Oryctolagus cuniculus: one gene and its partners. The protein of the gene in region 3 purifies or fractionates together with the protein of the main gene of each other region. This does not show direct contact. Links are inferred from orthologs where the notes say so. Each region holds a gene or a part of one and is shown on either strand. Other genes may lie near its edges.

Region 1 (3,649 bases), on a different chromosome or scaffold from region 3:
CTGGTCCGCCCCAACCACTGCTGACCACCTCCCTGAGCTCTTATTCAGAGGCCTGCACTCCATGGGGAGGGGCAGGAATGGCAATGTACCTCCAACAAAGTCTCCCCACAGCCAAGATGATCCAAGGAAGAACCAGACATAGGAACTCAGCCTAGCTGTGTGCCCAGCTGTGTGTGTAGCTGGAAAAGCATTTCCGTCTAGACCCACTGCTCTGAAATGGGACACAGATTAGCCAGAACAAACCAAGGAAATACAGAACTCAGATGCCAGACCCTGACTTACATTCCTGAGTATAGATCTCAATGGAGAGACTCAAGGGACTCTCAGGCCAGTGACAGCCAGGTCTTCTAAGAAGTCTTTGCCTCAGGACGGTGCTCAGAGCATAAGGCTGTGTGTCACAGGGCCACACACCCCTACCCTGGGGCAACCATGGGTAAGAGTCCCCAGTGCACCCCTTGCAACTGCTCTGGGACATCAGGGATGAGGATCTGGGACATGGAGCTGGCTACACTGGGTCCTACCCCATCAAGGGAGCCCTTAATACAGATGCCTCTTGGACTCTGGTTCAGTCTTTACTGCTAAGTTGAACCAATTTTAAGTTTTCTGATAAAAACTAAATCCTTATGCTTCCAAAAGGGAAAAACCACAAAAAAATGCTATAATTTCAAAAGGTTCCCTGATGCCTTGAAGCCCACTGGGAGACCCAGGATAGGAACCTTGATGAGGGTGGGTGGAGAGATGTTCAAAACCCGCAGACAGGATGATAAAGGACAGGTGACAAAGGACAGGCTTAGGAGTCGGACTAGTTTTGGATCCCAGCTCCTGCTCCAATGTCACCTGGGCAAGTCACTGGATTGCAGAGGCTTAGTGTCCTCACATGCTAAATGGACATGACCCAAGCTACCACACAGGCTTGTTGGGCTGAGGATCTTTTAAAGAAACCAGTATATGCATCAAGTGTTTTTTGTATAACACAGAGTGGCCAACCTTAATTCCCAGAACAAGTAGTTACACCCATTTAACAGATTCTAAGTGGCAAGACTGAGATTTGAATCCATGCATCAAAACACTGCTCAACCAATGGAAACAGCAGCTTGGCCTGCTGGCCATTAGCTAGGTGGAGGAAACTCAGCCCAGCACCACTCCATAACATTGGCAAGAATTCAGGGATGCCCTGCCCACGATGGGTCTCAGAATAACTTCCTCCTCACCAAGAACAAGGACAAGACATGCAGCCCTCAAGGATTCCCCCATGGCCTGGCCAGAGCCTGAGATCCCCCCTGCCAGGCCCCAGGACAGCACTTACTTTCCACCGGGGTGGGCAGGGTAGGGATCCCAGGCTGAGAGTAGCAGAGGTACATCTGCTGGTCCAGACTGCGCAGTGCATGGAAAGTAGGGTGTGTGTGCTGCTGCACAAACAGGTGCCCCGCGTTGACCTGGTTGACCACGATGACCTCCACAGTGACACCATCAGGCAGCATGAGCTGTAAAGGGGAGGGGCAGCAGGCACTGTGACAACCTTTAAGCCCCGAGGCCCCAGGACAAGTCTCTGAATTGGCACATCCTTGAAAGGTAGAGCAACCCAAGACAACACAGCACCCAGATGGCAGCCACCATGAGCTAGTTAGCCAGAGGCCCACTGTCCTGCAATACCAAGAGTGGCCTTTAGGAGGAGTGTCACCCCAAGGCAGTGCAGGGAGGTTCTGGGCATCCAATAGCCCACTGTGAATGTGGTACTGGGCCTCACACAGGTCTCGATAGAATCTTTCTGCCAGAGGTTTCCCTCCCTCCCACCTCCTTGATGAGTCTCTAAGACTCAGGGAGGTAAACAGAATGAAGCAATGATGAGAACGAGGTGCCGGGGGATAAAAGGCAGCCAGCCCAGGCCCCTCAGGACCAGCAGCTGACCCTAGAAGCCCAGGGCCTGACAGTCTCTAGTCTGCATTCCTAATGACAGGTCCACTTTCAGGGTCTGAGTCCTAGTTGCTCTTTCTGCAGCTTCTTGTCTTCCCTACATTCCAGACATTCCTCAGCTCACTGTCACTTTGGGACTCAGCAGGCACATCCTATATTAAGGCCCTGGAGGAACCCCCACATCGTCTCTAAAAGCCTTATTCCTCAACAGCAGTTTTCCCCATGCCCAGCTACAGACAACATGTGGGGTGCTTGGGCCAACAGAGAGTCTGTTCTACCTTCCAGCCAGCTGTCTACAACAAGAGAAGCTCCCAGCAAAGAGTCCTGGCCTCCATGCTCCTCTGTCAGCTCAAGGCTCTGGAAGTGCATGTCTCGAGATGACCTCCACAGTGAGGGAGCAGGAAGGGAAGGAAGACTACACAAAACCCTTCGTTACTTAATATGAAGGTTTGAGCCAGGCCTCCTGGAAACAAAACTGTGACTTGAGAATAAAGCATGGAGCAAATACTCCCAGAAAGCAAAAAGGGTTCCCTATCCCTTCCCTACAGCACAAGGGTCTTCCTAGAGGAAGACAGAACTGCCATGTCTCAGCCTATACCAAACCCAGGGGAGGTCTTCTTGGAGCAGCAGGCCTAGCCCATTTTAGAGAACTGCAGGAAACAATCTTTGGCCCATAGAACGCTGCACTTCTCAGTGAGAGGGGCTGGACCGGGGCCAGATGAGATGACAGGCCCCAAACATCCCGCAGCACCAGCACGCAGGGGCCCTCAAGATGCAGGCCCCTGTTCCTGCCACGCTCCCAGGTCAACGCTATAGAGCGACCCAGCTTCTGGGCCTGAGGGAGAACTCTGAGGGTACTTCAAAAGGTTCTCAGCAACACAAAGAAAAATGATTATTTCATGCAGAAAAAAGTCTGAAGTCCATATTTAGTTCTTTTTCAATTAGCAATTTCACAAATGTTTGGAGATCCCTTACCTGTGTAGATTTAAACATTTTTGTACCAAACTTAAAATTTTTTCTTCCATTTATCTGAAAGGCAGAGCAATAGGAGTGAGAGATTTTCCATCAGCTGGTTCTCTCTCCAAATTCCCAAAACAGCCAGGGCTGTGCCAGTAGAAAGCCTGGAGCCAAACTATCTGTGACACCCTTGTGGGTGGCAGGGAAACAAATACTTAAGCCATCACCTGCTGCCCCTCAGGGTGCACACTGGCACAAAGCTGACCCCAAAGTGAAGACAGAACTCAAACTCTGATACTCTAGGGGGCCGGTGCTGTGGTGCAGTGGGTTAATCCTCTGCCTGAGGTGCCAACATCCCATATGGGTGCCAGTTCTAGTCCCAGCTGCTCTTCTTCCAATCCAGCTCTCGGCTGTGGCCTGGGAGGGCAGTGGAGGATGGCCCAAGTGCTTGGGCCCCTGCACCCGTTTGGGAGACCAGGAAGAAGCACCTGGCTCCTAGCTTTGGATCAGCACAACTCCAGCTGTTACGGCCATTTGGGGAGTGAACCAATGGAAGGAAGACCTTTCTCTGTCTTTCCCTCTCTGTCTGAACTCTGTCTCTCAAATAAATAAAAATCTTTAAACAAAAACAAAAACACAACTCAGGAGGCAGATCTCCAAAGAAGCTTAATAGCTGCACCACAACACTCATCCCTAAACTCATCTTTTACTTCCATTTTCCCATGAACTATTTGAAGTACCCTCTTATTTATGAAATATAATCTAATTAGCCAGGGAG
Region 2 (3,749 bases), on a different chromosome or scaffold from region 3:
GCCAACTTCTTCTGCCTTCCCAGGCCATAGCAGAGAGCTGGATAGGAAGTGAAACAGCCAGGACCCAAACCTGTGCCCGTATGGGATGTCGTTAGGGCAGGCAGCGACTTTACCCACTATGCCACAGCGCTGGCCCCTATTGTTACTAAACTATAACCATACTAGTAAAGCTGCACCCATTAACAACTCATTAGTCATTCTGCTCTTCATTTATTTAGCATTCACTGATAGGTATCATTCTAGGGTACACTGTGATCTAACTTGAAAAAAGATTGTCACCACCTCTATATCTCCAGCCCCTGGCATAACATGGGAGTTCAAGATGGCTTGTGCTGAATGACTACATTTAGAACCCAATGTTTTGGGCCGGCGCCGTGGCTCACTAGGCTAATCCTCCACCTTGCGGCGCTGGCACACCGGGTTCTAGTCCCGGTCGGGGCACCGGATTCTGTCCCGGTTGACCCTCTTCCAGGCCAGTTCTCTGCTGTGGCCAGGGAGTGCAGTGGAGGATGGCCCAAGTGCTTGGGCCCTGCACCCCATGGGAGACCAGGATAAGTACCTGGCTCCTGCCTTCGGATAGGCGCAGTGCGCCGGCCGCAGCACGCCGGCTGTGGCGGCCATTGGAGGGTGAACCAACGGCAAAGGAAGACCTTTCTCTCCGTCTCTCTCTCACTGTCCACTCTGCCTGTCAAAAAAAAAAAAAAAAAAAAAAAAGAACCCAATGTTTTTCAGTCCTAACTAAAACACATGCTTATATAGAGAGGAAATAATTTATAGACTATTTTTGATGATGCCATTTTCATTCTATCTTCCATGCTGTTAGTCTTCATAACGTTAATGGCTGCATACTATTCCATTGCATTTATACATCTTAGAAAGCCAGTCTCTTCATATCATCTCTCAAGACTTATTTCGGTATTTTTATTGCAGAGCTAATGTGGCCCCAAACATATCCTGCCTTATACGTTTCACAGATTTCTCACTGGGAAAAGCAGGCTTAACTCCAGAAGAAGATAAACTTCTGAAATACAAGTTAACCTATTAACATTACTCCATTGGTAGAATTTTGAAACACACACACACACACACACCGCTAGAGCATACAGAACTCCATTTTGCCAAATCAACTACTTACAACTATTTAATTAAATCCTCTATCATGATATATGTCTGTCCAAAGTAAATCACCTTTCATGGGACTGCTTCACATGTTTTTAGGAAAGACATTTTTGGGGGCAAGCAGTAAAAATTCCCAAGCCAGACAGATTAGAACTTCAGTGCTTCTGGAAGCCAGCACACAGCTAACCTCCCTCAAGGGACACACGGGGTTTGTGTAATGTAAGCAATTTGGGGGCTCTGGAAGGTGCCCTGTTCCCCTTCCCTCCATGTACAGATTCTAAAAGTCCACCTGGCTACCTGTGAGCCTGGACCTCGGGCGGAGGGAGCTTCCTGCAAAGCCCACTGCATTGCTACGTTACACACGCAGGCAGACACACCTGGGATGAGCACTCTCCTGCTGCACCTCTGCAGGTGGCCCTTCCCGGAGGACTGCAGCCAGGGCCCCGGTTTCCTTTGTTTATGTGGGGGGAGGGGAGGGAAGGCGGAGAGGAGAAACAGTTAACTACACTACCATTTAACCGCAGTCCAAGTATGATTGCTGACAATTACCTCTACAGAGATTAGCAGATAACCTACAAAAGGTCATTTCGTTGTAAAGAAGAAGGGGTCCTTTGGGGCCAACCAGAAGACACGTCTAACACGCAATGTTTAAAAGAAATAGGTTATTCAAATGTATCTCGTGTCAAGTTTTTCATGAAGCCCAAGGAATGACACCTGTGTATGATTTTGTATTGTTTGCTTTACAGGCTTTTTCGTGCGCGCGCGCACACACACGAAACAGCGGCTCACCGGAGCTACACAGAGGACAACGACATTACTCAAAGCAGGAATTCTGTAGGTGTCACTTGGAACACAGAACCTCTGGGTTCCCAGAAGTTCCATGCAGACAGCCTCGGTGCCGCGACAAAGACCTCCGCAGACAGACATACAAAGGCACGCTTCTGTCAACGCCCCTGCAGCCAAGTTCACAGCTGGCACTTGTGGCACACTCGAGCCACTGCCGAGGCAGCTGTCACAGGCCAATCACACACGCCCCGGAGTGCCAGCGTGCCAGAGAGGCGGGCGAGCCGCCGGCCGCGCGCCAATCCCCCCCAAATAAAGGAGAAGCCCTGAATCTCCTCGCTGGGCAGCACAACGCCTGCACCGCCCAGAACACCCCCTGAAGAAAGTGAAAGGCTGAGATTCGGGAGCAATTAAACACCAGCTGACGGCAGCCCTGGGCATTTACGAGAAAGCAGCCACGCCGTTCACTCAGCACCCAAGTATCGGCGGCGAGGAGGGGGCGCCGGGCTTCGCCCCTACTGGAACAAGGGGCGAGGGGGAAACGCGGGGCCGCGGCACCTCGCTCCCCGCCAGCCAGCGCGCGCCGGCCGCCGCCAGCTCCGCTCCCAGGCCCCCTCCCACCCTGCCCAGCCGCCGCCTCCCTCCCCGGGCCCGGCTGCCTCCGCCTCTCCTACCTTCGCTTTGCCGGCCTCCAGCTTCTTCTGTCGCTCCTCGTCCTCCATGGCCTCTGCGGGAAGGCGGCGGAGCAGCGGGCGGGGTTTGGGGGAGACAGGAAAGGTCGGTTCAGGCGGAGGTGGGGCGGCGAGCTCCGCGGCCCAGCGAGCAGGCCCGGCGCGGCGCGGCCCCGCCCGGAGCGCGAGCAGCCTCCGCGCTCACTGGCGGCTCGTCCCGGGCCGCACGGCCAGCGCCGTCACCGCCGCCGCCATCTTCGTCTCCACGTAAACACTCGGCGGGCGTCGTGGGGGGGGGGGGACGTCGGTCCGCGCAGCCGCCGCGCCGGGCAGGTGCGCCGCGGCCCCGCCCCCGCCCGCGCCGTCCTCCCGCGGCCCGGCGGCTCCCGGCGGCTCCCGGCGGCGGCGGGGCTGAGGCGGGAGCGGTGTCCAGGGCCGCCCGCCCGCCGGCCAGCAGTGCCGCCACGGTGCGCGGGACTCGGCGCTCTTCAAACAGAGCGGTTTTTCCAATCACGAAGCCATCAGATATGAAGGACCTCTGAGCAGCCACAGTGGCCAGCAGGCGGGAGAGACTTGCCGGACCCCGGCTTTTCAACCTAGGTGGACTCCTCCACGCCAGAAACCGGGAGAGCGGCGACTGCGGCGGTGACTTCCCTGGCCTCGCAGTCCCGCCCCCTGGCCCACGCCGGTTCCCGCCCAGGCTGCCGGGTCCTCCGAGGCCCACCTCGCACGCCTCCGCCTGCACGCACACGGCTCCTGTCTTTGTTCGCCCCCCGCCCCCGGGAGGGCTCCTGCTGAACCTGCACTCCCATCCAGCCTCGCTGGGGCCTCTGGCAGCGGTGCTCTCGGGGACCCAGCCCGGGCGCACCACCTGACACGACACACGTTACCTGTCCTGGGATTGGGGAAGGGTGGTCATCTTTGTGACTGCCCCTGGCCTACCGAATCGCCCCGAATTAATGTCGGTTGCCGTTTTTCTCGAATTTCCTTGATGTCCTCTGCACGCGTTTTGTTGGCTTGCGTGCTTCTTAGGTCACCTGATATTCCTGGCTCCTTGGAGGCACGGACCCCCTCATGGATCCTGCTCACCGTGGCATTAATAAACGACTAGCACAGGGCTTTGCTCCGAATAAATACTGCTGGGTTGACTGGTCACGTCTATAAATTGATCATTAC
Region 3 (3,749 bases):
CTTGGATTAAAGCCTGTTACTTTTCTTATCTGCCTAACCTAATTTTTAGAAAATTACATGCAGTTTTTATGTTTGGTTGATCTCTTTAAATACCACTTTTGAGGCAAGCATACTCACAGTGTTTATATTCATTTTTCTTGTCAAACAAGTTATGCAAGCAATCTGCTTTACGTAGTTTGAAGAATGTAGTTTGTATGAATACTTCATATAGTCAACAACAAAAAAAAGAAGGAAAATTTCTGTTTTAGCCACAAAAATAAACCTTTGAAGTTTGAAACAGTAAGATTCCTCTACTTGTATTCTATCAGTGTTCTCTCCACTACATTAGCACATTCCATAATAAAAATCTAGAGCTCCATGCTTATTATTTTCATCCTTGCATATAAAGTTGTGTCAGCTACATTTTGGAGACAGGAAAAGAAGAAATGGGCAGAGGAAAATTAAGGAACATTCAGTTACCTTTTTAAGTATTTCATGTACATTGTTTTTTATTCACAGGGTTACACTGTTCCTAATTTTATTTGGTACAATGACTCTAATTGCCTTACTTGTTGATTTCAAAATAAAGAATCTGTCAACATCTTTTCAGTCTGTTTTTCTTGAAAAAAAAATCATGGTTCATAATATTATTTTCCATTGGGAGACTTTTAAAATGCATTTCAGAACACATCAAAGTTCCCATACATTTAAAAAATGGTGAGAGTCTAGCTTAAACATAACATTATTTTTTTATAAAAACATTTTTTATCCAAGAGACAGAGAGAGTGAAAGACAGACAGACAGACGTAGTTTGAAGAATGATTTGCTGAATGATTACGTCTGATTTGCTGGTTCACTCTCTAAATGTCTACATAGCCAGGACTAGGCCAGGTGCCAGGAACTCAATCCAGGTATCCCTTGTGACATTTATTCATTTGTAATAGATTCACTAAACACCACAATACAAGCATGAGTAACAGGTATTGGGGAATATAATTCAGTTTTGTCCTCATTCCTTATTTAACTTTCAATTAAAAGACCTTTGAAATGCATAGAAATGATTTCTGAGAGGGCTTGGGAAACTGCAACTGTACAGAACAGGGCAAGTGGAATAAACAACAAGCTTTCAAAATACTCGCAAAATTTTAGTAATGTATTACTAAAATTTCAGCCTTCAATAATTCATTAACTTGAAAATAAATGTGATTGATTCCTTATCTGTCAATTTGCTATAAAGACTAACTATAAAAAGTCAAAACCTTTTGAGTTAAAAAAAATTACGCCAAGTATGTTCATTTTTATCTTCTCCCTTAAATTTAGCTTGAAGAATGTAAAAACAAATCATGATGTAGTAAAAAATAATTCATATACGTTTCTGTAGAATGGTCAATGTGCTGTTTAAACCAAGGAGCAAATTTTGTAGACTGTTCTTACTTTGGTGTTTTTACAGCTAAGTTTTCTTCCTTAACTGTGTTGGAGTATATGAACAGAAGTGGCAAGCCTTACTGCTATTTGGTGATCCAACACCACAAATGGCAACAGTGCCAAGGGTAATTCTACTGTCCCTGTAATCACAGTGACAAAAATACTTTGGGGAGGGTCCAAGGTGAGATGTGGGATGGAAAAACTGCTCTTGTTTATATGCGAAACTTATCTTTTAAAGTGTACGTCACCAAAAATGATCCTATCTCACCATTTTAACAAAGAAATTATTCCAAATATTTTAATATGTCTAGAAAGAAAGTAATGCATACATAAACAATGTTTCCCTTTCTAGCCATATTTACAAGTAACATAAAATACAATTATGAAAGCTTAGATATCCATGGTTATAAATACAAGGTTTTTACATAGAATAATCATACTTTGCTTTTACTCTAGGAAATCCTACTAAAAACTGAAATGACTTTCACACATACATTTAAAAATAAGACAGGAACCACAATAGAAATTTAACTGCAATTCATGAGACTTCTTGCCTCTTTTAAAGTTTAAATCTTATAAATATAAGCAATTTGAAAAAGTAAACAAGTCATTGTATCTAAACTCTAGGTTTTTAATTTTAAAATACAATAAAAAATCAAAAACAATAACATACACTAGAAAGGATGTGAGGGTTTTATAGAAGATTTTCTAACTGATATTCAACTTAAATAACCATACATAAAACGAAACAATGAACAATGATTCTGCTCAACTTACAATCAAGTTTTAGTGAAATGCTTTCAACTTCATCTTGCAAAATGCCCTTGTGCAAATTATAAAAGACAAACAAAACCAGTTCTTTATGTTTGATTCTAAAACTCCAATTAGTATTTTAGCTGCTAGTTATAATGTATCATTTAGAAGACAAAAAACTTACTTGATCTGTCCCATAAGGCAGTATGTTCAGAGAAATGAAGGCTGTCATTTTCCAGGGCTGTTTTCTGATCATGTGCAGTACCTTTAGAGTGTCTATGAAATAAACGGCTAGCAAATCCTTCCAATTTCTGAAGAGCAGTAGTTGTACCTGTATACTGGTTACACGGTAGTTCTCTATAAGCTGCCATTCATGTACATTTACACTTTTCTTAAATTAACTGAAAATACTTTCAGAAGGAGTCCAACAACTTCTTACACAGAAGCTAAGAGCTATGCATGTGTCAAACTTCCTGTTTGCAGGGTATTCAAACCACTACTGCTGTTCTGTTTCCTGTTAATATAAAACAGCACATTACTGAGCTTTTCTTAGCCAAACCTTTTCATCTCAACTAGAGATGGGGATTTTTAAAAATTGCAATATTTGCTAAAGGCTCTATGTTTGAGTGTTTTAATATTAAGTATAGGTTTTGAGGAGAATAAATATAGAGTAGACTGAAAATTTTTTAAAAAGAAACATTAGTATAACCCTGCAAACAACTGAAGGCTAAACCTTCCAAATGTAACATGTTAAAATGGTAGACTAGTTTTTCCAAGAAATCACTAATATACAGATTTTATGAGTCTTTATAATTGGATAACTTTCGATAAAAATCTGGTATAGAATGGATATGACAAAATTCTTACAAAAATGTATAACACATATGTTATAATTAAGAAAAATCTGAAAAGCATTTTAAAAAGAAATGAATGTTGCTAATGTATTGACTTAACCTTAATTTATATAGAAACTACAGAAACTAAGTATGTTGGTATTGCTTATCGAGCTTAAAATCTACTAACATGTTTCTAACTTCTAGGAGTGAATTTTAGAACACTCTAAAATTTGAAAAGAGGTACAAAGTAGAAAATTTGAAGTTATATAAGGTAATTACAAATTATAATCATATATCAGCCATAGCAAGAAATTTCAACAGAGAGAGAAAAAAGTTCCTTCTAGTTGACTAAGACAAGTTAATTTTAAAATGTTAATTTGAAAGACTACTGCTTATTTGATCCTCTGATTTACTGGTCTCACTCAGAAATATATCCTTTTATAAAAGGTAAATAAAACTTGCCATCTTTAATTTGCAGGAAGAAAAGTAATTTTTGACATTTAATAAAGATTTAGAGTACCTGACTTTTGACATTAATTAAAGGATGAGAAATTTGTGTGCTATTTTTGAAAGCTCCAAATAACAGAAAAAAGGAAAAGAGAAAATAAAGATCTTTAAAAGTTCTAAAACAAAAATCTTATTTTAGATTTCCTGCCAACTAATCAATAAATACAATAGGAATAATAATGTAATCAAATTAGAAGAATTTCTAGACAGACACATACAAGTTTACAAATGAAACACTGAATTTTGCCA

The links.
Region 1: the proteins of PRKACB (region 3) and AKAP1 purify together in Homo sapiens (affinity purification with mass spectrometry; 4 studies listed by BioGRID and IntAct, counting the BioPlex papers as one, with this or other methods). This does not show direct contact. The link is inferred for Oryctolagus cuniculus from reciprocal best matches to the Homo sapiens genes PRKACB and AKAP1.
Region 2: the proteins of PRKACB (region 3) and AKAP9 purify together in Homo sapiens (affinity purification with mass spectrometry; 5 studies listed by BioGRID and IntAct, counting the BioPlex papers as one, with this or other methods). This does not show direct contact. The link is inferred for Oryctolagus cuniculus from reciprocal best matches to the Homo sapiens genes PRKACB and AKAP9.

Annotation. Positions count from the first base shown.
Region 1 is NC_091448.1:32,671,262-32,674,910, reverse strand, and holds part of AKAP1 (A-kinase anchor protein 1, mitochondrial), read right to left. Parts: intron 1,485-3,649; coding exon 1,307-1,484; intron 1-1,306.
Region 2 is NC_091447.1:43,775,648-43,779,396, forward strand, and holds the start of AKAP9 (A-kinase anchor protein 9), read right to left. Parts: upstream 2,711-3,749; 5' UTR 2,625-2,710; coding exon 2,577-2,624; intron 1-2,576. UniProt on the Homo sapiens protein: Scaffolding protein that assembles several protein kinases and phosphatases on the centrosome and Golgi apparatus. Required to maintain the integrity of the Golgi apparatus. Required for microtubule nucleation at the cis-side of the Golgi apparatus.
Region 3 is NC_091438.1:87,119,524-87,123,272, forward strand, and holds the start of PRKACB (cAMP-dependent protein kinase catalytic subunit beta), read right to left. Parts: upstream 2,667-3,749; 5' UTR 2,529-2,666; coding exon 2,342-2,528; intron 1-2,341. UniProt on the Homo sapiens protein: Mediates cAMP-dependent signaling triggered by receptor binding to GPCRs.